Tamandua tetradactyla: one gene and its partners. The protein of the gene in region 3 interacts with the protein of the main gene of each other region in a biochemical or structural test. Links are inferred from orthologs where the notes say so. Each region holds a gene or a part of one and is shown on either strand. Other genes may lie near its edges. The genes, in order: APTX, PNKP and XRCC1.

What was found.
Region 1: the proteins of XRCC1 (region 3) and APTX form a complex in vitro, tested with the Homo sapiens proteins (2 studies listed by BioGRID). The link is inferred for Tamandua tetradactyla from reciprocal best matches to the Homo sapiens genes XRCC1 and APTX.
Region 2: the proteins of XRCC1 (region 3) and PNKP form a complex in vitro, tested with the Homo sapiens proteins (3 studies listed by BioGRID and IntAct, with this or other methods). The link is inferred for Tamandua tetradactyla from reciprocal best matches to the Homo sapiens genes XRCC1 and PNKP.

Annotation. Positions count from the first base shown.
Region 1 is NC_135328.1:62,891,073-62,898,784, reverse strand, and holds the start of APTX (aprataxin), read right to left. Parts: upstream 3,036-7,712; 5' UTR 2,969-3,035; intron 1-2,968. UniProt on the Homo sapiens protein: DNA-binding protein involved in single-strand DNA break repair, double-strand DNA break repair and base excision repair.
Region 2 is NC_135342.1:11,291,742-11,299,075, forward strand, and holds the start of PNKP (bifunctional polynucleotide phosphatase/kinase), read left to right. Parts: upstream 1-4,278; 5' UTR 4,279-4,372; intron 4,373-4,713; 5' UTR 4,714-4,725; coding exon 4,726-4,876; intron 4,877-5,421; coding exon 5,422-5,468; intron 5,469-5,545; exon of another isoform or gene 5,546-5,825; coding exon 5,826-6,125; exon of another isoform or gene 6,126-6,384; intron 6,385-6,394; exon of another isoform or gene 6,395-6,657; intron 6,658-6,672; exon of another isoform or gene 6,673-6,743; coding exon 6,744-6,823; exon of another isoform or gene 6,824-6,907; coding exon 6,908-6,965; exon of another isoform or gene 6,966-7,081; coding exon 7,082-7,189; exon of another isoform or gene 7,190-7,195; intron 7,196-7,334. Other genes in the region: AKT1S1 (proline-rich AKT1 substrate 1), read left to right, coding at 1-246, 1,205-1,282, 1,363-1,532, 2,443-2,586. UniProt on the Homo sapiens protein: Plays a key role in the repair of DNA damage, functioning as part of both the non-homologous end-joining (NHEJ) and base excision repair (BER) pathways.
Region 3 is NC_135342.1:21,214,283-21,222,088, reverse strand, and holds the start of XRCC1 (DNA repair protein XRCC1), read right to left. Parts: upstream 3,084-7,806; 5' UTR 2,945-3,083; coding exon 2,894-2,944; intron 2,516-2,893; coding exon 2,423-2,515; intron 1-2,422. Other genes in the region: PINLYP (phospholipase A2 inhibitor and Ly6/PLAUR domain-containing protein), read left to right, coding at 4,179-4,248, 5,160-5,276, 6,886-7,038, 7,272-7,415, 7,574-7,728. UniProt on the Homo sapiens protein: Scaffold protein involved in DNA single-strand break repair by mediating the assembly of DNA break repair protein complexes. Negatively regulates ADP-ribosyltransferase activity of PARP1 during base-excision repair in order to prevent excessive PARP1 activity.

The DNA of each region.
Region 1 (7,712 bases), on a different chromosome or scaffold from region 3:
GAAGCCACAAAAGAAAGCTAGCAGATGTGGCCATGAGCCTTTCCAACTGACAGAGAAACCCGAACATCATCAACCCTTCCTTGAGTCAAAGCGTATTTATGTGGACGCCTTAGTTTGGACATTTTTATGGCCTTAGAAAATTGTGACTTAATAAATTCCCTTTATTACGAAAGCCAACCCATTTCTGGTATATTGTGTTCTAGCAGCTTTAACAAACAAAACAATGACCAAAGACTTTTTCTTTCTTTTTTTTCTCTCTCTTTGAGGTGAGGATAGGAAGAGATCTAAAAAAGCCTGATTTCTTTGTTTATGTTTGACTGGGGTAAAGACAGTAAGGGAGAGAAAAACAAATGAAAACAAGATCTCACAGGTAAAGGTAAAAGAAAAGTCAGAAGCAAAGATAAAGGGATTTTCTTTTATCAAAAGAATCCACTCAAACGCCTGATACTGTATCAAACAGTAGGGACACCCACATCAAAAGGCCAAGCCCTTGATCTTTACGCTTACTCTTGAGAAGCTTATGTATATAGCAGAGAAGCCTAGCCTACCTATAGGTATACTTCAGAGTTACTTACAGAGGACCTCTTTTGTTGCTCAGATGAGGCCTCTCTCTCTCTAAGGCCAACTCTGCAAGTGAAATCATTGTCCTTCCCCCTCCATGGGATATGACATCCAGGGTGAAAGTCTCCTTAGCAGCATGGGATATGGCTCCCAGAGATAAGCCTGGCTCAGGCACTATGGGATCAACAATCCCATCCTGACCAAAAGGTTGAAAAGAAGCATAATAAATAAGGTGTCAGTGGCTGAGAGAGTTCAAATAGAATCGAGAGGCTACTCTTGGAGGTCACTCTTAGGCAAACTTTAGTTAAACATTGCTACCTATTATAACTTGACAAACCACAACCACAACCACTCCTGCCAATCTGAATACCTAAGGCATTATATAAGATTTTACAAAGGTTCCATCCAAGAGGGTAACTTTCCAGAAAACCACAAATTCCAGATGGGTCCCTGGACCAGGTAAGTCCTGAAATGCAGAGGGTCCAGCCTCTCAAGGACACCAATCAGGTCCATTTCTTTATCCCATATTATCAACAGCCCCTTTCAACATGAAAAAGTTAGAATAGGCATAGCCAAAATACTCCTAAAGAGTGGGAGAAAGATCAAAGGTGATGGTGGAATTATACAGAGAAGGTAGAGTTTAAGAAATGAGTATGATTTCTGAATTGTTATATTGATATTTCTTTTCGTCTCCAGTATCTTAGAGCAGCTAGAAGTAAAAACCTAAAATTGTGGAATTGGAACCCATACCAAAATCTGAAATCCGTTCTACAATTAATTGTTGTGATACACTTTGAAAGTTATTGCTTTTGTGTATGTATGTTATTTTTCATTAAAAAAATGATTGTTATGATAAAAAATAATAAAAAAGAGTTCACTCATTCTTGAAGACTAACAGTAATGTAACGATGGCTACAAAAACAGATGACTTTGTAAGAAGGGAAGGGAGAAGCGGGAATTTGAAAGTGATACCAATCAAAAGCAGTGGATTCTCTACCCAATGTGCACAACAGCCAATTTATGACACTAGGGTTTCAAAGAGAGAAAGAGTTTAATGGTAAGTGTGACACAGGAGAGTAAATGACCTATCCACCCAAAAAATCTATTTCCTGGAGTCTAAGGAGTTCAGGGTTTTTATGAATCCAAACAAGTGAGGGATGGAGTTGTTAATATTATAAAATAGTAAGTACACACAGGGCCAATATTAGGCTAGAATAACCATTATAATAGTAACTGTAAATAAAGGTGAGACTAGTTGAGTTTCAGTAATCTCAGGTATTAATGGCTACCTATTCCACAATACAGATAAACAAACATGCACGTAATGATTCGGTAATAGTAATCATTTGTTAATTCTTAATTTCTGTTACAAAAGAAAAATATGATGACCTCAATTTTCTCCCCAATCCAGTTAAAGTAACAACAGAGTGAAATGCTTGGAGCTTAATGCACAACTGAAGACAAAACAACATACACCAATGGTTAACATCAAGGCCTATGAAGTCGGATTGCCTGGATTCAAATCTTAGCTCCACCACCCACTCACTGTGTGAATTGAGGCAAGTTATTTAACTGCTCTTAAGACTTTACTTCCTCAGTTGTAAAAGGACAGTAACTGCTCTAAACCACAGGGTTATCACAAGGGCTAATTAAAATGAAAAAGTATGTAAAGCTTAGTGTCTGGCAAAAAGCATTTAAAACCATTATAATTCTTATTAATAGTTAAGGTTGGATGAAAGCAGAAGTTAAGGTCCTGTGAAAAAGACCATCAGACAGCACAGACGTTGCAAACTAAGGTGGGAGGACACAAACCCCAATGATCTGCCCTTATGACCAATCACAATTCAAATATATTCCCAAAGTATTCTATAGGACTCCAAATATAAGGCAAACTTCAAGAAGGTTCTAAACCTAGACCACATTAATCCCAAATGGAAACTATATCGCTGCTCTTTTGAAATCTCTATCACTGGAGAAAGACTTGCTTCTTCTGAGCTTCCTGTAATGCCTGTTGAGAACACTTATTTACGATGTGCACTGTCTCCTTTGAAGGCCCTCAAGGTATCAAAACAAGTTCCTTTCAGGGAGTTTCTGGCGGACAACACTTCCTAACAAGCTGAACCACCTCCTTAGGTAGGAAAGGACTCACTCTCTAACTAACCTTTTTGCGACTAAGCTATGTGCAGGTATCCGGAGCACATATGAACAAAGGGCGGAGACCAACGTGACCGCCCCGCTGAAACGGAGCACAAGAGCTCTCCGGAGAGCCAGAGGATGGGGCAACGCTTGCCGAGAAAGAAGCCGTGAGAGCGTTATTCAAGGAACATTACTCGGGGGCAGAGCGGCCCCAGCCTGAGGCCCAATCCTGCAGGTTTCAACAGAAGAGGTAGGCCGATCACCGCCTTACCTCGAGATGGCAGAGATGGACACGTTCACAGCAGTCCATCTGGCCGCACAGCTTCCGGCGCTGCAGGATGACGTCACGAGACTGCAATCGCAACCTGTGGCGTCACCAGAGCCTTTTGAGGATTGGCTGAGAAAGTCTCGCCCAAGCCCGGGCTGGGAAATGTCCTCCCCAACCCGTCCAGCAGTCGACCGGGGTTCACGTGGGTAACCTGGCAACTGTCCCTAGAAGACGGAGTTCTCGCGGCACCTCTGTGCTCGGGGGTCGCTCTCCTGTCACCACCCTCAGTCTAAACTGGAAGAGACCTCAGGCGGCCAGTGCAGGTTCCACGTTTCCAGGCGGCCGTGCAGCTTCTTTGCACTCCTGTGAGGTGACGCTATCATTGAGGCTCTCTTTTCTGCTGTTGGTACCTGCTGTGAAATTGCTTCTCTCCCTTTCTTAGCCATAGTATACTTTCTCCCTTTGTTGGGAATAAAGGAAAGGAAGAAAGAGAGTCAGGGAAACCTGCTAGAGGTTTTTTTTTTGTTCGTTTGTTTAGTGCTATCTTCAGTAATGAACTGACGGAAGAGCAATCAGGGAGTAGAGAAACAGAATACTAGGATGAGATGTTTACAGATTTTTACAGCAGTTCCAGGTCGTTCCCTCAGAGTCAGGTTTTGCAATTGTTCCAAGGCATTTTGTCAGGTAGAGAAATCCCTATTTCAGGGATGAAGGCATGCTGTTTTAATTTTTTCTCAAACATCTTAGATAAAAACTGAGCCATAAGAGGCTTCTTTGTCGAGATGGAATTTGTTTCCTTCCATATAGAAGCAAAAACTCAACAGTATAGCGAAAACAACTGAGTCATCAAGACAGAAGGTGGGAGGATCTTACAGGAAACAAAAAGAGGAACTTGCTCTTGTTAGAGGAAATGCAAGCTTAAACTAAGGTCGCCTAAGGAAGTGGGGAGGCACGGATGCATCTCAGCTACCGAGTCAGGCCTAATGGTGGGTTCACAAGTGCTTGAGATAAAAAGCAACAACTCTGGTGACCTAGCCAGTTTTGTTTTTCCCTTAGAATTAAGCTTCTCTTTGTCTCTGCTTCTACCTGCCCTGCCTTTTGTGTATCTTACATTCAAAACCGGGATGGGATCGTTCTAATTGTATTATTCACAATAAGATGTGAAAAATCAGGCAGAGTTCCCACACTGGGTCACCTCCCAGGTCCCAGACCGATGGCTTCAGTTAGATCAAGCCCACTGTCTAAAGTGCAGTGGTGGCCAAGAAAGGAGGGTCATGGTACAATATATGGGTGATGACACTTAAGAGATTCATAGATACCACTCCAGAAGCAAAATGATTTATCACAAACATATATAAAAATGAGTAGAGAGTATTCTGAGATATTATCTATGGCAGTAGCCCTCAAAATGTAGTTCCAAGACAAGTAGCATCAGCATCACCTGGAAACTTGTTAAAAATGCAAATTTGGGAGCTCTACCCCAGGCCTACTGATTGAGAAACTCGGGGTGAGGCCCAACAATCTGTTTCTAAAAAGGCCTCCAGAACCAATAGGTCGAGCCCTCAATCTTGGGGTTCAACCCCATGAAACATTCCTATAAAGATAGACTAAGCCTACTTAACGGTAGGCCTACAAATCACCACCAGAGAACCTCTTCTGTTGTTCAGATGTGGCCTATCTCTAAAAGCCAGTTTGGCAGGTGAACTCATTGCCCTCCTCTCCACATGGGACATGACTCCCAGGGGTGTCAATCTCCCTGGCAATGTGAGACAAGACTCCCAGGATGAGCTGGGATCCAGCATCATGGGATTGAGAAACCTTTCTTGATCAAAAAGGGGAAGAGAAAAATGAGACAAAATAATGTTTCAGTGACTGAAAGATTTCAGAGTCTGGAGGTTATCCTGGAGGTTATTCTTATGCATTATATAGATATCCCTTTTTAGTTTACAGTGTATTTGGAGTGGCTAGAGGGAAGTACCTGAAATTGTTGAGTGTGTTCCAGTAGCTTTGATCCTTGAAGGTGATTGTATAAAGATATAACTGTTACAGTGAGACTGTGTGATTGTGGAAACTTTGTATCTGATGCTCTTTTATCCAGGGTATGGACAGAGGAGTAAACATGGATAAAATAAAGAAATAAATAATAGAGGGGATAAGGGGTAAGCTAAATTGAGTAGATAGAAATACTAGTGGTCAGTGAGAGGGAGGGGTAAGGGGTATGGGATGTATGAGTTTTTTCTTTTTTGTTTCTTTTTATGGAGTGATGTAAATGTTCTAAAATGATCATGGTAATGAATACACAACTATGCGATGATATTGTGAGCCACTGATTTACACCATGTATGAATTGTATGTGTGTGAAGATTTGTCAAAAATATTTTTTGAAAGCCTTCCAGATTATCCCGATGCCCCCTCAAATTTGAGGTTCACTGATGGAAGGAAAAGGCTTGAAACTGTGCCCTTCAAAATGTGTTCTGTTGGCCTGCTCAGGGAGTTTTATTTTTTATTCCAACAATTAAAAATTAGATCTCACAAGAAAATCAGGATTCCTGGTCTCTTGAAAAAAATCAGTAAATCTAGCAACTTCTGGCAACAAACAGCTGGGACTGAGAGTGGCTACCATGTGCTCTTCAACTTGCCACTGTTCCCATCCATTTATTTATATAATCTGACTCCCTGAATGCCTTTGATTTTGAGAGTCCTGGTATAAAGGAAGTGCAGTTGGAGCCTGAGAAGGCTGCAGTGGTCTAGTCCAAAGACTTGCTCATGGAGACTTCCTAATATTAGGCTTAGGGTGGTCAGGCCCTTTGAGACTGATTTACCTATCTAACTCACATGAGACTCAGGTACACATCAAAGTATAATTTATTAACATGTCAAGGTAAATTACTGATATGGGCAAGACAAATGCTAGAATCTGTATTTCAATGTTCCTCTATTTGACAAATATTTATTGAGATTCTATTATGTTCTGGATGCACAGGTAAGCAAAACAGACACACTCCCTGCCCTTGTGGCACAGTCTAGTGGGGAAGACAGTCATTACTTTCACATGCACAGATTTACAATTGGTAATAAGTCCTAAGAAGGAAAAGTACACAGTTGTAGGGGAGAGAATAGCTGGAACACCTCTTTTGAGAAAAAAAAAGTTTTGGGGGGAGAGGTTGGTAGCAGGGTCAGGAAAGGCCCATCTAAGGGCTGCTAGTGCAGCACTGAATTCCTTTTACTGTTGGTACCACTGTGACCTGTGTCTGGGCCTCGCTGATGCTTAGCTCAGAGACCAATAACAAAGGCCCACTGTATTAGGGTTCTCTAGAGAAACAGAACCAGCAGGATATATCTGTAAATATGAGATTTATAAAGGTGTCTCATGCAACCATGGCAATCTAAAATCTGTAGGACAGGCTATGAAGCTGGCAGCTCTGATGAAGGGTCTGGACAACCTCCACAGGAGAGGCTCTCTGGCTGAAAAAGCAGTGAAAGGGTCTCTCTTCTTCCTTAAAAGCCTTCAACTGATTGGATTGTCATGTTGTGGGAGACAATCCTTACTTGTGCCATAATTGATCACAAATGTAATCAGCCACAGATGCAGTCAACTGACTGATGATTTAATACACTAGCCTTCCAGTTTAACAACCAGCCATGAAATATCCTTGCAGCAAAGGCCAGGGAAGTGCTTGCCTGACCGGACAACTGGGCATCATCACTTGGCCAAGTTGACCCCATTACCCAACTTGACACCATTACCAGTTCTGCCTCTGCTCTGAGGAACAGCTTGCAAGTGAGAGTTAAGATCTAAGCCAGCAGTGCTCTCAAGATCACTTGCCAACCAACCTCTCCTACCACACTTTCTTGACTAACTACCACCACTACCACACCCAACACCACCACTACCACACCCAGAAAAATGTGAACACATACACACACATATCCCTCACCTCCTGACTTCCCACCCATATTTGGATAAAACATAATAAATTGAACATAAAAATGTTGAAATGGCAGTTTAACCCAACACTTTAATTCCTTCATATTGCCTGATAGCTACAAAAGGAGTGCAAAGTTGGGGTGCAGGATATCAGATCTTGGTAATCAGGGTTTGACATTCACTCAACAAACACTTCTGAGCACCTGCTATACGACAATTACTGTGCTAAGTACTGGCTGGATATAAAATGTTATTAAGGAGGTGGTACAAGTATAGTTCAGTGGTAGAATTCTTGTCTGCCATGTGAGAGACCCAGGTTCAATTCCTGGCCCATGCACTACTCCCCCTTCAAAAAAAAAAAAAGAATAAATGTTACTGCAATAAGGGGATACTCACCTGGAAAAAGAATGAAATGTGACCCTCATTACATAAAAAAATAAATGCTATTAAGTCATGATCACCAAAACAGTCCTCCACCTCTGAAGCTTGGCTTTAACTCATTGGATTGCCTTTTGGTGTGCAGCCATCGGGCTGTTAAGAGGCATCCCTGTGAACTGGTCACCCCATTAGGAATGCTGTCAAGGACACTGCTCTTCATATCACACAATGTTCTCTTTATTAACACCCCTGGGAGACATTCCAATCAGATCCCAATTCCAGGAATAGTTTCACTTCTCCAGAGTAACAGGTTTGTTTTTTCTTACAGACACCATGAATTGTGAATACAATGAGGCTTTAGCTTAGAGACAAATTCATGGCCCAGTTGCCCATATATGAAGGTCATTTCTTTTGTTTGTTTGGGTGTTTTTTATTATTGTT
Region 2 (7,334 bases), about 9.9 Mb from region 3:
CCTGTGCTTATGCCGCCCATGGCCGGGGGGCCCTGGCGGAGGCCGCACGCCACTGCCTCCACGACATTGCCCAGGCCCACAGGGCGGCTGCGGCTGCCCGGCCTCCCGCGCCCCCACCAGCACCTCAGCCACCCAGCCCCGATCGGAGCCCCCCCCAGCCTCCCTCGGCCCGGGAGGAAGAGGAGGAGAATGGGGAGGAGCTGACAGAGACATCAGGGGAGAGGCTGGACATCAGCGATAGCGGAGGTGAGAGGGGCACAGAGCTGGCGGTGTGATTGTCGGGAAGGTTTGGATTCCGTTGGGTTTGCCTGGAGGACTGCTTGTCTGTGAGCCCTGCTGGTCTATGGAAGAGACTGGCAGGATGGACAGGCCTGCCAGGGACTCCATTGGCTGTGGGGCCTTAAGCAAGTCATTTTCCCTCTTTGAGCTTCAGAGTCCTTATACTGGTATTCTGAGGCCAGCTCCTTATTGCCAAGTACTGGGCAGTGATTCCCGCATCTGGGGCTGTTAATGCCTAAATGGCCAAAGATAGGAGTTAAAGAGGAGTGAGGAGTACAGTCACAGCTGAGAAAGCCAGGAGAGAGGGCAAGACAGCTATTTTGGGGGAATTTTGAAATACAAGGCTTCCCAGAAACTGGGTTATAAGACTAGGGTTTTGAAGAGTGTGTAGGAGTTTGCAAATGTCTCACTATATAGGAGTTACTATTTTCTGTTACTGTTACTACCAATGGCTGGCCTCTTCATTGTTGCTGGAGAAGACTCCCATAGGGTTAAGGGTACAGACTCTGGAACCAGGTGGCCTGGGTTCAAATTCCAGTGATGCCACTGGGACCTCAGTGGCTGTGGGACCTCAGGTAAGTGAGTTGACCTCTATGTGCCTCTGGGTCTGCATTTGAGATCATAATTGACCCATATTTCTCTTAGTCAGTATTTTAAGTTAGATCTTCCCAAACATGTTTTGCAAATTTCACATTAATCCAACCAGTCACTTTGATCTGAAGGTAAAAGATAGATACTGTGTTTATTTTTCCAATGACCACCCAGATACCCCAAGGAAGGGCGTAGCGTTCCAGACAGAGGGAACTGCAATCATGGAAGCCCTGAGGCTTCAAAGGGTCTGGCAAACGCAGGAAGTAGGGAGGGGTCAAGGGCACATGGGGCATGATGGGAGCTGACTGGCCCTGGCCTCTGCCTCCATCTGCAGGGCTGTTTGTGATGGACGAGGATGCCACCCTCCAAGATCTGCCCCCTTTCTGCGAGTCGGACCCTGAGAGCACAGATGGTGAGTGTCCCAGGTTGTCTCCCCTGGTCGTGGGGCTGGGACAAAGCCAGGGCAGAGGCTGAGGACCCCCTGTCTCCCAGATGGCAGCCTGAGTGAGGAGACCCCGGCGGGCCCCCCATCCTACTCAGTGCCTCCGGCCTCAGCCCTGCCCACACAGCAGTACGCCAAGTCCTTGCCCGTATCCGTGCCCGTCTGGGCCTTCAAGGAGAAGAGGACAGAGGCACGGTCATCGGATGAAGAAAATGGGCAGGTGAGGGGCAAAGTAGCACAGGGCAGGGGGCTGCCTCCCCTAGGAAGCTCCTCAGGCTGATGGTCATGGGAATCCACTGAGCAGGGATACCATTTTCCACACAACCGCACCAGGCAAGTTCTTGGGCCAAATCCTGCAGTTTTAACTGTTAAAACTTTATGACGTATCTCAGTGCCCTGTAGGAATGGCCATTATGGAGCACCTGCATGGCCCCCACCACTCAGTATCTTGGCATCACCTCCAGATGGGGAAACAAAAGACTGGAGGGGTCATACCCTCCACCCCTGGTCCCTCCCAGGATCTCCCACCACTCCTTTTGTGCTGGGGGAAGGCCACATCCAGCAGGCCCAGCTCAGGGTGACAGGGGCTCTAACGGAGGTGAGGCAGCACTGGCACTTGGGCTAGCCAGCAGGGCCCTGAGGATGTCAGCGCTGGCAGGTGAGAGCTCCTTTTTCTTGAGCAGTCACTGCTAATTCTCTCCTTCAAGCCTCACAGGTCCTGGTGCCAGTCCCATTTTTGAGAGGGGGAGAATGAGGCTTAGGGAGGCGAAATCCCTTGTTAGCAACCAGTCGTAGGCTGAGCCCTGGTGGGAAATGAGCGAATTCCAAGCCTCAGGTCCTAGAGATGAGACCCTCTGGGTCCACGCTTCATCAGCGGTCGGCAGACAGGTGGCCCTTCCGCTGTGGTAGAAGCAGCCAGAACTGCGGACCGACAGGCAACCGCGGATCACAGAGGTCCAAGTTAGAAGGGGAAGAAGTCAGGGCAAGAAGGCTTCCTGGCGGAGGCGGTGCCTGAGCGGAGTGTCGGGCCTTCCTGGCGGTGGGCAGCACAGGGGCAGAGGTGGGAAGGCAGGAAAGGGCCCCGGGTGGCGGCAATGGATGCCGACTCCGGCTCCCTGCGGTCCCCGCAGCCCTCCTCGCCGGACCTGGACCGCATCGCGGCGAGCATGCGCGCGCTGGTTCTGCGGGAGGCCGAGGACACCCAGGTCTTCGGGGATCTGCCGCGCCCACGGCTCAACACCAGCGACTTCCAGAAGCTGACGCGGAAATACTGAGGCCCTGGACCGAGCTGCGGGGCTGGCGTCAGCCCCGCCCCACACTACACCCCCGCCCCGCCCCCGGGGCCCGCCAATCCCAGTCGGATCCGGACCGGCGCCCCACGTCTCCCTGCCAGTGACCCGGCCGCCCTTCCAGCCCTCGTCCCTTTGCGGGCGTAGGAGCGGGGCCTGTCCAGTCTCCTGATTGGGTGTGCCGCTCCTTTTTCCGCCCAGCGACAGACTATTAATGGATTGGTTCACTCCTCGGCTGGGGGCGTGGCCAGTTCTGAGCGCCTAGGTGGCCAACTCTGCCGTTTTCTGCCTAGCGACAAGGGCTTTGCTCACACGGCATTGGCTCGATCCGTGGAAGAGCGCGGTCGAGCCCCAGGATTGGGCAGTGGCGCTCCACTTCCGCCTAATGTCCGGGCAGCGCCTTTGTTTGACTGGCTCTCGCTTTTTAAATGACCCCATCGATCTCCCGTGAGTCCGTCCACACTCTCCCAGACTTCTCCCACTTAGTTAGCTCCGCTCTTTAAAGGGCATAGCCAAACCCTGCTCTCGTGCTCTGGAGTGGCTTGCGGCCTCCAATTTACAGTCTCTACACTACTGGGGCCGCGGTCGCCTTTGCTCATCCTGTCAATTGGTCCCGCTGGCCCCCTTCTCATTTGTTCCATCCTCAACAGCCTGCCAGTCGAAGCCCGTCCGTGCATCCAGGACGGTACCAGCTCCCGCCCCTCTCCCCTACCCCCACAGGTGCCTTAAAGGGCCCTCGTCCACCCCAGGTGGGGGACAGGGGGCCGCACTCTCCGGCCCTGGTATGGGGGAGAGAGTGGGGGGGTGGGTTAAGGAGTTTGGGATCGCTGCGATTAAAAGTTTTACCTCTGACGAGTATGATATGTGTTAACGGGTGTTCATTCAAACTTTTTTTGAAGCTGAAAGAGCAACATCTCATTGGTTCTCAGTACAAAGCTGGGAGTTGGGGTTATGCCCATTTTACAAGAAAACGGAGATTCGCGGGTTGGGGAAGAGGATTCCAGGTCTGTGTGACTGTGGAGCCCCCGTCTTTAGGGGTATTAGGGTTGGAATCCGAATGTCTTTTAGGAGTCAGTCTCCTGAACCCACATAATTCTCCGATTCTGGCAGGAACTGCCAGATGGGGCCGCAGGTTTCCTACCAAAAGAAGACTAGAAGTTAAGAGAGCCGGTGGTACCTGGCCCGAAGTTGGGACTCCGCAAAGTACTCATGACGCCTCCATGTCCCAACAGAGCACCATGGGAAGGGTGCGAGCAATAGACAACCTAATGTAGCCGGGTCTACTATGACCGCACGTTTTCTAAGCTCTCTACGGGTATTTACCCCTTGAATCTAGTAATTCACGAAGCGGAGATGATTATCTGCACTTTATGAATGAGAAAAGTGCAACATCGCGGTTAAATCAGAACGGTCTAGGATTAGTGCTGCTGTCAGTGACAGGGTATCTTCCACTTCAAATGCGAAAGAACCTACTTCCGCTGTAGCGGTCTCCAGCAAAGAGGATGTAAGTTAAGTGTTCAAGATGATGAGAGGAAAAACTATAAACGGACACATTCGCCCTACTGGCCTGAATCTCACATTGTAGTAGGAGGGACGAGGTCAGAGCTGAGAAGGGACCGCAGGCACAAGCGACAGGAGGAGGGGCGGGGCTGCTGTGATGGGAGGGGCCGGGCCCCGCCCCTTTCGGTGGCAGAGTCATTTCCGTCCGCCACCGACCAGCAAAAGCGGCCGGCTCGGCTGCCCGCAGAGCGCCTCCGGCGGGAGTTCCCAGGTGGGAGGTGGCGCGCGAGCCCGCGCAGCGCGCACGGGTGAGGCTGGGGGCGGGCCGGGAGCGCCACGCGAGGCTCGCGGCCTTGGTCCGGGCAACTCGGCGTCACGGCTCCCGGAGAGATGGAGCCGGGGGTCAGCGCCTGGGAAATGGCGCGGCAGGGTGGGATTTCCGGAGCTGGTAGCAGCTAAATGGAGGGGATTCCGAGTGGCGGGTCTGGGATGGGGAACTGTGGGTAGGTGAGACTTCCTGTGGGCCTTCGGGAGGAACCAAACCGAGGTGGAATTGGACGGAGGGCGGGACTCAAATCTGCCACTCAAACTCTTAAACCTACTTCCCGCTAGGCGCGGGCCGGGATGGCCAAGTTGGAGGCCCAGGGCCGCCTGTGGCTGGAGAGCCCACCTGGTGGGGCACCTCCCATCTTCCTGCCCTCGGACGGGCAAACCCTCGTCCTGGGCCGGGGGCCTCTGACCCAGGTCGCCGACCGGAAGTGCTCCAGAAACCAAGGTGGGCGGAGACGTGGCCTGCCTCGTAGAGCCGGAACGCCACCGGGTGGGGAAGAGGGGCCGTAGGCGCGGTTAGGGAGACGCTTGCCTGCCGCATGGGACTGCACGGCGCAGCCAACCCTGGAGCTGGCTTGTGCCTGACTTGGTGCTGGCCACACACTGTCTGCGGAGGGGGGGCTGGCGCCAGGGACAGGGTCACCAGTGGGCAGAGAAGGATGCTCACGAGCCACGGGCGTTGTTAGAGAGAGCCGCCCCTTCGGAGAAAAGTGGAGGTTGCTTGGTAGGGATGGCTGGTAACTGGCAATCCCAGAACCAGCAGGTAGCCACACCTTTTGTCAAGGAGGCAGCCAGTTCTCTCGAGAAAAGTACCCGCCCTTTTCCTGGGGGTTCAGTCTACCTACAATCACGTGTGTGAAAGCGTGAGCCAGTCCCTTCAGAAATCAGTAATTCCCCGGTAAGGGTGCTTACAGCCCAATCCTGGGGCCCAGGAACGAGGGATTCCACTACACAAAGATGACAATCCTGACTCCACCCCTCAACCCTCAGTGGAGCTGGTCGCAGACCCTGAGACGCGGACAGTGGCAGTGAAACAGGTACCAGAGCCTCAGCTTGCCCCCACCCCACCCCCGCCCCGGAAAGCCGGGGGGCGGGGTCTGGGGAGGAGCCTCAACCTCCTGGGAAAATCTGATGGGCTGGGGAGGGTGGGATGTGACCGGTAAAGAGACTCCAAGAGAGCTGCCTGTTTCCGTGGGGTATCTATCTATCTACCCTCATTCAAACTGAACCAAGCTACACCCTGCCTTTGAAATCTTTTCTAAAACCCGAATTGGTGGTACACAGTGAAGAGGTGGGTCTTAAGGGCCTGAATGGCAATGGACAAAGGCATTTGATGGGAGGACATTCCTAAGGTGGGGCAGAGCCAATGCTGGTTCCTCGCTCTTGTTTTGCAGCTGGGAGTTAACCCCTCAACTGCCGGGACCCAGGAGCTGAAGCCTGGGTTGGAGAGTACCCTGGGAGTAGGAGACAAGCTGTATTTGGTCAATGGCCTTTATCCCCTGACCCTGCGATGGGAAGAGGCCCACACACCAGGATCCCAGCCAGACACTCCACCGGGTACCCCTCCGGTGGCCCCAGCCATGGGGCAGGATTCTGGGCCGCAGAAAAAGAGGATGCGGAAGTCATCCCCGGGTTGGGAGGACTTGGAAAAGCTGCTAGTGTTCACAGCACCTGGGGTGAAGGCCTGTGGCAAGGTGAGGCCCAGCTGGGGCTGCAGGGACCCCCACTGGGGACCCAACCCCACACACACTTGCTCTCTGCCCCTGGGCAAGTCATTAGAGTTCTCACATGACAAATTCAGGGGAAATTATATTTTCAGCTCCAGCTTGACCTATGGTAGCCACCTGGGAACTGTGGCAGGAGCATTATGATGAATCATTTTTAGGTCCAGAGACTTGAGTTCAAAGGCACTTAGCATGCTGTTTTAGGGCTTGGACCCCCATTCCCTCGTTTCTGAAAAGATGAATCCATGAAAAACACATGGCTTACAGTTAGCACCCAAATAAAACTTGGCCTGTTTTTAATTCCTGTTGTTAGCCCTTGGAGGTGAAGAAGGTGGGGCAAGGAGAGTACGAAGCTAAGAATGCCCATTTTAAAGAGTGGAATACTGAGACATCCAGAAGCAATGAGAGACACATCAGGCCCTGCACTCAGAGGCAGTGAGGGTGGGTCCTGGAGGGACTGTGTCCTTGCATAAGATGTTCACCTGTGACTCGGTTTCCCCACCTGTAAAATGGACACATGTGAATCTGTCTGTGGGTGAGGATGAGAAGTGTAATCACATTGTGTTCCCTTCTTCCTGGTGTCACCAGGTGGCCGGCTTTGACCTGGATGGGACTCTCATCACCACACGCTCAGGGAAGGTCTTTCCCACTGGCCCCACTGACTGGAGGTGAGAAGAGGCAAGAGCAGGGAGGGAGTGGGACCCAAAGTCTCCCACCGAGCTCCTGGCTACCCTGCCGCTTCCCCACCCTAGGATGCTGTACCTCGAGATTCCACGCAAGCTCCGTGAGCTGGATGCCGAGGGCTACAAGGTGTGTGCGCACACACGTGTGTGTCTGTGAGCAAGCGGTGCATGTGCAGCGCCCGGGCCTCAGGACAGGCTGGGGACCCTGGGGAGGGGACACTGGTGACCCCACTTGTTCCCCAGCTGGTGATCTTCACCAACCAGATGGGCATTGGGCGTGGGAAACTGCCAGCCGACGAGTTCAAGGCCAAGGTGGAGGCTGTGGTGGAGAAGCTGGGGGTCCCCTTCCAGGTATGGCTGCAAGAGAGGGTGAGGGGCTGTATGGGGGTTCGAAGATGTAGAGGAAGGAACAGAGACCCAGAGGGGGGTGCAGAGACCCAGGGGAAAGGCTGAGGCCTGGGGTCAGGGGCAGAAACCCAGAGAGAATGTATCAGAG
Region 3 (7,806 bases):
AAAAATTTCTGCCTTACCATTGATTTGAAGCAATCAAAATCAGCCTTCAGCAGGGAGTGAGTCACAGCTAATACTGGCAACCACCAGAGGCCATCAGATTTTCCGGAGGGTCTCGGATGTGGACCAAGTTAACAAGCGCTGAAATGCTGGAGGCCCTGCTTCTGCCACTGCCTGCAACAGTGTGTTCTCAACATGGGAACCAGACGGAGCTTGGGTAAATTTAAGTCAGATTCTGTCCCTCCTCTGCTGAGAACCCTCCAGTGGCTCCCATCTTAGCATAAAAGCCAAAGTCCTTGCAGTGGTTTTCCAGGCAGCCCACAAGTGTCTCTTCCCGGGGAGGCCTTCTCTGACCCTCTATTTAAATGAAAACTCTCAGCACTCACCATGGTCCCGTCCCCTGCTGAGGGACTCCCTATTCCTCTCAAACTACTTAATTTCCCTCCACTGCATTCATCATCTGACTTAAGTTTAATTACTGGTTTGTTCATCAATCTTTCCCTACAAACATGGAAGTCCCACAAGAACTGAGATGGTTTTTGTCCTGTGCTGTTCACTGCTATATAAACCCAGCACCTAAAGCAGTGCTTGGCCTAGACAGTGCTGAATAAATATCTGTTGCATAGATGAATGAACAAACAAACAAATGAATCCATTCATTCCTAAGTCTGCCCCTGTACCAACAAGCCCCTTCCGTCTCTGGCTCCACATCTAATCCCTCCTTGTCTCCTGGATGCCGCTCCATGGATATCCCAAAGTCACATCAAACCTGGATGTCCCATCTAAACATATCACCTTCCCAAACTGCCCCCTCTCTGGGTTTCCCATTTCAGTGACAGCTGCACCTTTCCCCTCAGTCTTTCAGGTCACAGAATCCTATGCCTCATCCTAGCTCCTCCTGCTCCCTCACCTTCCACGTACTCTTTCCTGCCTGTCTATCTGCTCTCACTACAACAGGCACAAAGGACTGCACGTGACTTCCCTGGTATCACCCGATCAGAAGAGAGCCCAGCAGCTTTACGTAAACACCTGCATGTTGACAGAGCACTTCTGCAGACATTATGTCACCGAACTGTCACAACAACCCTAGGCTTAGATCTTATTATTCCTAATGGACAGATGATAAAACAGGTTCAGAGAAATAAAACAATTTGCCTAAGGTCACAGAGTGAGCAAGAGAGAAACTTGAATTCAGGTCCCAAGACTAAACTGTAAGCAACCTGTACCTCTTTCAGTTTAAAACATTTGACTCTTGGGCAAGTTGCATAACTTCACTCAGCTTGAGTTTCCTCATCTGTAAAATGTGAACAATAGATCCTAGGTCATGAGGTTTTTATGAGGAGTCAATGAGTTAATTCCTGTGAGGTGCTTAGAACAGTGACTGCCAGGTTGTAACACTCAATAAACGTTAGCTCTCATTTTTACTATGCAAAGGATTCAGGAGATATTTAAATTCCCCAACTCATTTCGAATATTTTGTAAGTCTGTGTTATTTTCTGGGAAGAGAATCCTCAGCTTCTATCAAATTCTCAAAAAAACCTCTGTGACCCCAAAATTTTTTAGAATCAGCAAGCAAGACAGAGAAAGAGAATACGATCAGAATCAAATGCAATCATGCAAGTCCTGCCTGACCTCCCCCATCGCTCCCCCAAATACCCCAACATTCAGAACTAAGGAATGTGGCCCAAATCAAGAAAGCTAGAGAATACAAGGCAGTTGGCAAAGTGGTAAATAACACCAGTACTCAGGTGTGAGTTCAAGTCCTGCCTCTGTCATTTATTGCTAGTGACAACTTTTGTGATGACTGAATCCATATAAAACACCTAGCCAGCAGTAAATGCTTAATATGTATTTAGCTCTCTTCTCCCATAATTTTCTTATCCCTGACAGGAACAGCCTGTTTGGAATTGTGTAACCATTTCAAGTCAGGCCACCCTTTCCTCCCTCAGGTTTGCCTCCCTCTAACCTCACAGGATTGTGGCCTGGATTGAGAGTATGAGCAAAAAGTACTCAGAAAAAACCTGGCCAGCATTTCAGTTCACTTCCCCCCACCCCCATATTTCAGTTTTCCTATCTTGAAAATGGTCGTTGATTGGCTTAGATGCGCTCAGGGACATCTTCCATCCCTGAGCCCACTGATTCACTTTGTTCGGGTTGAGGAAACCGAGACCCAGAAAGCAGGAGCAATCTATTGGGGCTACACACTGATTCCTATGGTTGTCCCTGGCCTAGTCCTGGGGATCCTTCTCTCCCCTCCTGAGGGGTACCAGTACCATGCTGCCCATTTTCCTGGTAAGAAAGCTGAGGCCCAGAAGAGAAAGTGACTCAGCCCTTGAGCCAACTGGCAGTGGGCTGAGTCACTTTCTCTTCTGGGCCTGGACCCTGGGTCTCCAGACTCCTAGTGGGGGGGGAAGGGCAGGGTCACCTGGAGGACCACAGAGATGGTCTTCTCGCCTGCCTTGGCAGCCCGCCATTTTCGGTAAGTGTCCGCCTTGAGGAGGTTTTCTGCACAGTGAGTCTGGGGGCAAGAGTGGAAAATGGAAGAGTTAGGACACGGAACCGAGGGCCAGACCCTCTCAAGACCTTTGCTAGTTGTCAGATAAGCTCCCCATTAATCCCCCACTCCTGCCTTGAATTCCCCCTGCAACCTTTTGCCCTGGAAGTTCACCTAATTGCTCTCCAAGGAACGCCCCTATTCCATTTTTTCTCTCCGGAAGTTCCAGAGATGTCCGGAAATTCCCCTATTCCTCAAGTCTCCGAGGATTCACTTACAGCATCCTGGAAATTTCCACTTGGCCCTTCTTAGATTTCCCTCAAGTTCCCTTTTAAACCCAGAAAGTTCTTGTGGAGCCCCCCTCCCCCTAGCAATTCCCACCTCCCCCACGCTGGCCCTCACCGAGTCCTGGCTGCTGCAGGACACCACATGGCGGAGGCGGATCTCCGGCATGCCAACGTCTTGGACTTCGCGGGGCCTGAAGGCTGAAGGAGGGTCGGGGTTTGGGTGCGGGGAGGGGTTGCTCCTCCGCGCTGACTTCAATGCGCACGCGCGCCGGGCTCGGGCCTTTCAAACTGCGGCGCGCCGGCACGCGCGTCAACAGCGCGCTTGCCCAGTCGCGCCACTCCAGTAGGCGGTGCTGAGTTTCCTAGCAACGAACTTTTCTCTAGTCCCGCCTCTCTCCGGCCACTCCACCCTCTAGTCCCGCCTCTTGGTGACGTATGCACTTTCTGGGCGCCCAGCAACAGGAGCAGCCTCCAAGATTGGTCCCTAGTAGAAATTCGCCATTCTCATTGGGCGATGCAGTCACCACGCATACTGAAGCCTAGAAAGCCAGACAGCAAAACCCGACTTAGAGTGTCATCTGGAGTCTTGGCTTCCGCGGCTGCATCCCACCGTCTCCCCGCCCCTATAAAAGCCTAAGAGCTCTTTCAGGTTATGCCTGAGACCACAAGAGAGTAGGTCACAGATCTAAAACACAAAGCATGCACTCACCCAGCCTACAGTGTTTCCACCCTTGCCTCAGTTTCCCAATATGTGGCCTGTGGGCATCAGTCTCCTACCGCGCCTGGCCCTGGCCGCTGACAAGCATCCCTCTGTTCAGTTCCCGTGTGCAAGCATGCAGCCGTGGGCTGAGTCGGAGCCGGCGATAGTCCAAATACAGAAGCAGGTGAAGGAGAAGGGAAGGGAGACAAGGCTCCCGGGCCCCCGCAGAACGAGCCTGGACACGCTGATGCTCCCGCTGGCGCTCCCAGGTGGGGCCCCACCCATGCTGGGTGCCTCCTTGGAAAGAGAACAAAGGAAGAGGGAATCCCAGACCTTGAAACCGGTGCAACCCCCCCCCCAACCCCCACCCCGGGGAATCAAATACTCCATTCCGACCTTGGGCGTCCAGCAAAGAAAATGGACTGTGGGAATGTGAGAGGAAACAGGGCAGTGACCTTCTGGGTCCTGATGGAAGAAAGAGCTGGAAGTCTAGGCCACTAGGGACCTGTGGAGAAGGGGCTGGACACCAGATGCCCAGGTCCCTTTTGGACTTGGTTCCGCCTCCCGCACCCCAGGGCTGGTGAGGCCTGCCCTGCGCTCTGACCTCAGCTCCTTCTTGCCTCAGGGTGAAGGTTGGCCGGGCCGCCCTTCCTTAGCGTCTTATAAGGGCTGGGGACCCAGGACTGCCTGGTGACACACCATGAGGCCATCGGAGAGTCCCAGGACCTTCCTGCTGGCCTTGGCGCTGCTCTGCACTCTTCTGGGCCTTGGTGAGTTGCTGGGGGCCTGGATTCAGGACACCCCCAGGAAAGAGGGGACTGTGGAAGAGCATTCAACAGGGTCTTTAAGGAGGAAAGGGGAAGTATCTTGAGAGCTCGGATTAATGGAGGAGGCTAAAGGAAGAGAAAGCCTGGAAACCCCAAGGGAAGAAAAGCTCACATGATTGAATCCCTGAGAGGAAGGGGCTTGGTGGGCCCTGATTCTCCTGTACCCCAGGCAGATCCCAAAATAAGACATGAGAATTCTAGGAAGTTAGATAAGAGCAGGACTAGAAAGAGGAATCTAATTTTAAAAACAGAAAAGACCAAGAGACTCCCTTTCTCCCAGGCCACCAGCTCCACTTTCTCCAGGAGACACCTGGGCTTCCCTCTCTCAGGCTAAGGGGTCCATGTGCCCACCCTTCCAGAGGTCATTCTCCCTCCTTAGCCTAGGATGTAGACCCCAGCCTCAGGTACTGCTACCTGAGTTCCTGTTGACTACAAGACCTCCAGTTGTACCTGCAAGGGGGAGGGTCTCAAACTGCAGAATCACCTGTTCCTGAAGCTTCACAAAAGTCCCTGGAAGCCTTCGCCACGCCCCTCCAGCCCCCAAGCGTTCTCAGAGGACCCTAGCATCCAAAGCCCCCAGCCTTGTAATTAGGTATCTAGGTTCTGTGGTGGAGTCGTTTCCTGCCCCTGGAAGCAGCTTGCAGGCATCACCACTGCGTCCCTGTCAGGGCTCTGCATAGTTCTCTGGACAGTTCCTTGGACCAATGCTCCGCCCATGAAAAACCTGGGAGATGGCAGGACCCTCCTTCGTAAGGACCAACAAATTGTGCCCTCTGCCCTCGTCTCCCTCAGGGCCCCGAAGTGGAAGTCGTGGTTCTCAGACCTCGGCTACAGTCCCGCCCTCTCCCCTGCAGGGTGCCCACTAAGCTGTGAGGTGTGTAAGGGCCCCGGGCCCACGTGCAGTGGAAAACTGAAGACATGCGAGGCAGGCAAGGATGCCTGCGTGGTCATCGTGGGGGAGTCCAGCACAAGTAAGAGGGTGGGCGTTGGACCAAAGGTGCCATCAGGGTAGAAACAAGATACCATGTGCTGGGGGGTGGGGGCGGGGGAGATGGTCATCACTGTCGTGGAATGAGTGGCGCAGGAAGAAAATGTGCAGGAAGAGGGCAAGAATATCTCGAGGTGGAGGCAGAAGAATTCAGTGGGGCATCAGAATCCATTGTGGTCAGGGATTTCTAAAAATGAGACTCTCCAATAAGGGAGGAAGAAGTCTATGGGGGAAAGAATGCAGGGTAAATAAAGAGACTATTGTAGATGGGAGGAGGTGAAGGAAGAACATAGGGAGACAGAGAAATGATGAGAAGGGAAGAATCTAATAAGCTAGCGAAAGAAGAGGGGAGAGCCCTGGGGGTGAGGGGCAGTCAAAGGGTCAGAGAAGAGACGATTCTAGAGGAGATGAAGGAATCAACCCAAATCCCCTGGAATCACCCCAGGGATGGTGAGGGTGGCATGGGCTGGAAGAGAACATTCCCGGCAAGAGGAGGAGAGACGGTGTTGGGATTAGGGGAAAGTGAAAAGGACCACCACGATCGGAAGGGGGAAGATAACCACGAATTATCGAACAAATCATTATAGAGAGAAGTAGAGATGGGGCAAGTGCGTAGGCTGGTGAGTAAAATGTAAGGGACAGGAGGTGTGTGACTCAAGTGGAGACCATCCTAGACCTGAGAAGCCATGGGTGGTTGAGATTGCAGGGGAAGAGACCACTGGGGACCTTCCTCACAGGAGTGATAATGGGGCAAAGTGTGGGAGGGAAGACTGTGATGGCAGGTGAGGGGTAACTGAATGCAGGAAGAAACCAGCCCCACTGGAGGGAGAGAGGGAGAAAGGTGGGACTGAAGACTGCGCCCATCCCATCCACCCAGCAAGTGTTGGGGCCTGGGGGACGGATCTGAAAGGCTTGAAGAGACCACCCCAGACAGATATAGGAAAAGAGGTTCTGGGAGGCTAGGAGGAAAAAAACCCTATGGGCTGGCGCCTAGAGGGAAAACCTTTGGATTGGGTTGGAAAAGACCACCATGGGTCGGAGAAGGGGTAGGCTGTGGAGACTGGCAGAGACCACCCTAGACAGAGAGGGGGATAGGTGTTGGGGGAGTGGGGCAGCAGCCCAAGGTTTGTTGGGCAGAACCACCCCAGGGTGTGGGGGGAGGATGAAAGTCTTGGAGGATGGAAGAGACCACACCACAGGGACAGGGGAGTGGCCATACTGGCCTGGCAAAGACAGCAAGGTGCTGGAGGAGAGGATGGCCTTGGGGTGGGTGGGAAGGGACCATGTCAGGCAGGCAGCAGGGATGTTTGCAGTAGAGGACTGCAAGAGACCACCAAAGGAAGACTGGGGCAGGGAATGTAATGAGTAGAGAGAGCTACCTAATAAACCACTCCAAACTGAACCCTAGGCAGACAAGGGGAGATGATTTGGGGAGACTAGAAGAGACCACTCCAGGCAGAGAGGGAGGTATGGATTGAGGAAGCTGGAAGAGACTATCCCAGGCAGTCGCAGGGCAGGGAGATGTTGGGTTACGGGAGACTCGAGGCTAGGGTGGGGTCAGCTAGCGTCGCTGAGCCGGCCCCACCCCGCAGAGGGCCAGCAGTCGGTGAACACCTACAAGTCCTGCATGAAGTCCAGGGACTGCTATTCGGGGTTCGTGTCCACCACCATGGGCCCCAAGGATTACATGGTGTCCAACGCCCGCTGCTGCCAGAGCGACGGCTGCAACCGCGACACCGTGCCCCGTAAGTGCCCGCCCAGCGCGGCGCCGCGAGCAGTTTCCAGCCCCGCCCCAAGAGTCCGCGGTTTCTGGCCCAACCTGCTGCTGTTCGGCTCCGCGGCGTCGGGAAAGCACTTGGCTGGCTCAGAGCTTCCGTGTCCACACCTGTACAATGGGTTGTACAATGTCCCTTAGCATCCGGGGTTGTCTGAGTTCAGGAGAAGGGCTTAAACGGTCACCCCACTCTCACGCCCCCAGCTCCCCAGAACAATCGCACTGAGAACGGGCTCCACTGCCCCGCCTGCATCGCGCCGTTTCAGGAGACCTGCCCCGGGACCCAGGCAGCCCGCTGTGTTGGCCAGGAGACCCACTGCATCTACTTTGCTGGCAACGTGCAGGCCGGTGAGGGGACAGGGGCAGGGGAGCTGGAGGCTCAGACTTCCAGGTACCAGGGGAGGAGGGGGGTCCTTAAGGTGAGGAGGGGGCTGGTGGCTAGGACTCCTGGGTGGTGAGGAATTGGGGCCTGGAGGCTCTGACTCATCTGCAGTCCCCTTTCCTAGGTATCATCAGCCCCAAATTTGCCACTCGCGGCTGCGCTACAGAGAGTGCCTGCTACACCAAGGTTGGGGCGGAGGTGCCCTCCGCCTCCTATCTCTACCTACTCAGCAGAGTAGACTGTGTACCTGCATCCCAGCCCCCCGGCAGGGCTGAGTGAAGAAATGAAGATATGTGGCTTGAGGCCCTCATTTGTCCTCAACCTGCAGCTCCCCAAAAGTCTATCAATTAAATGGGT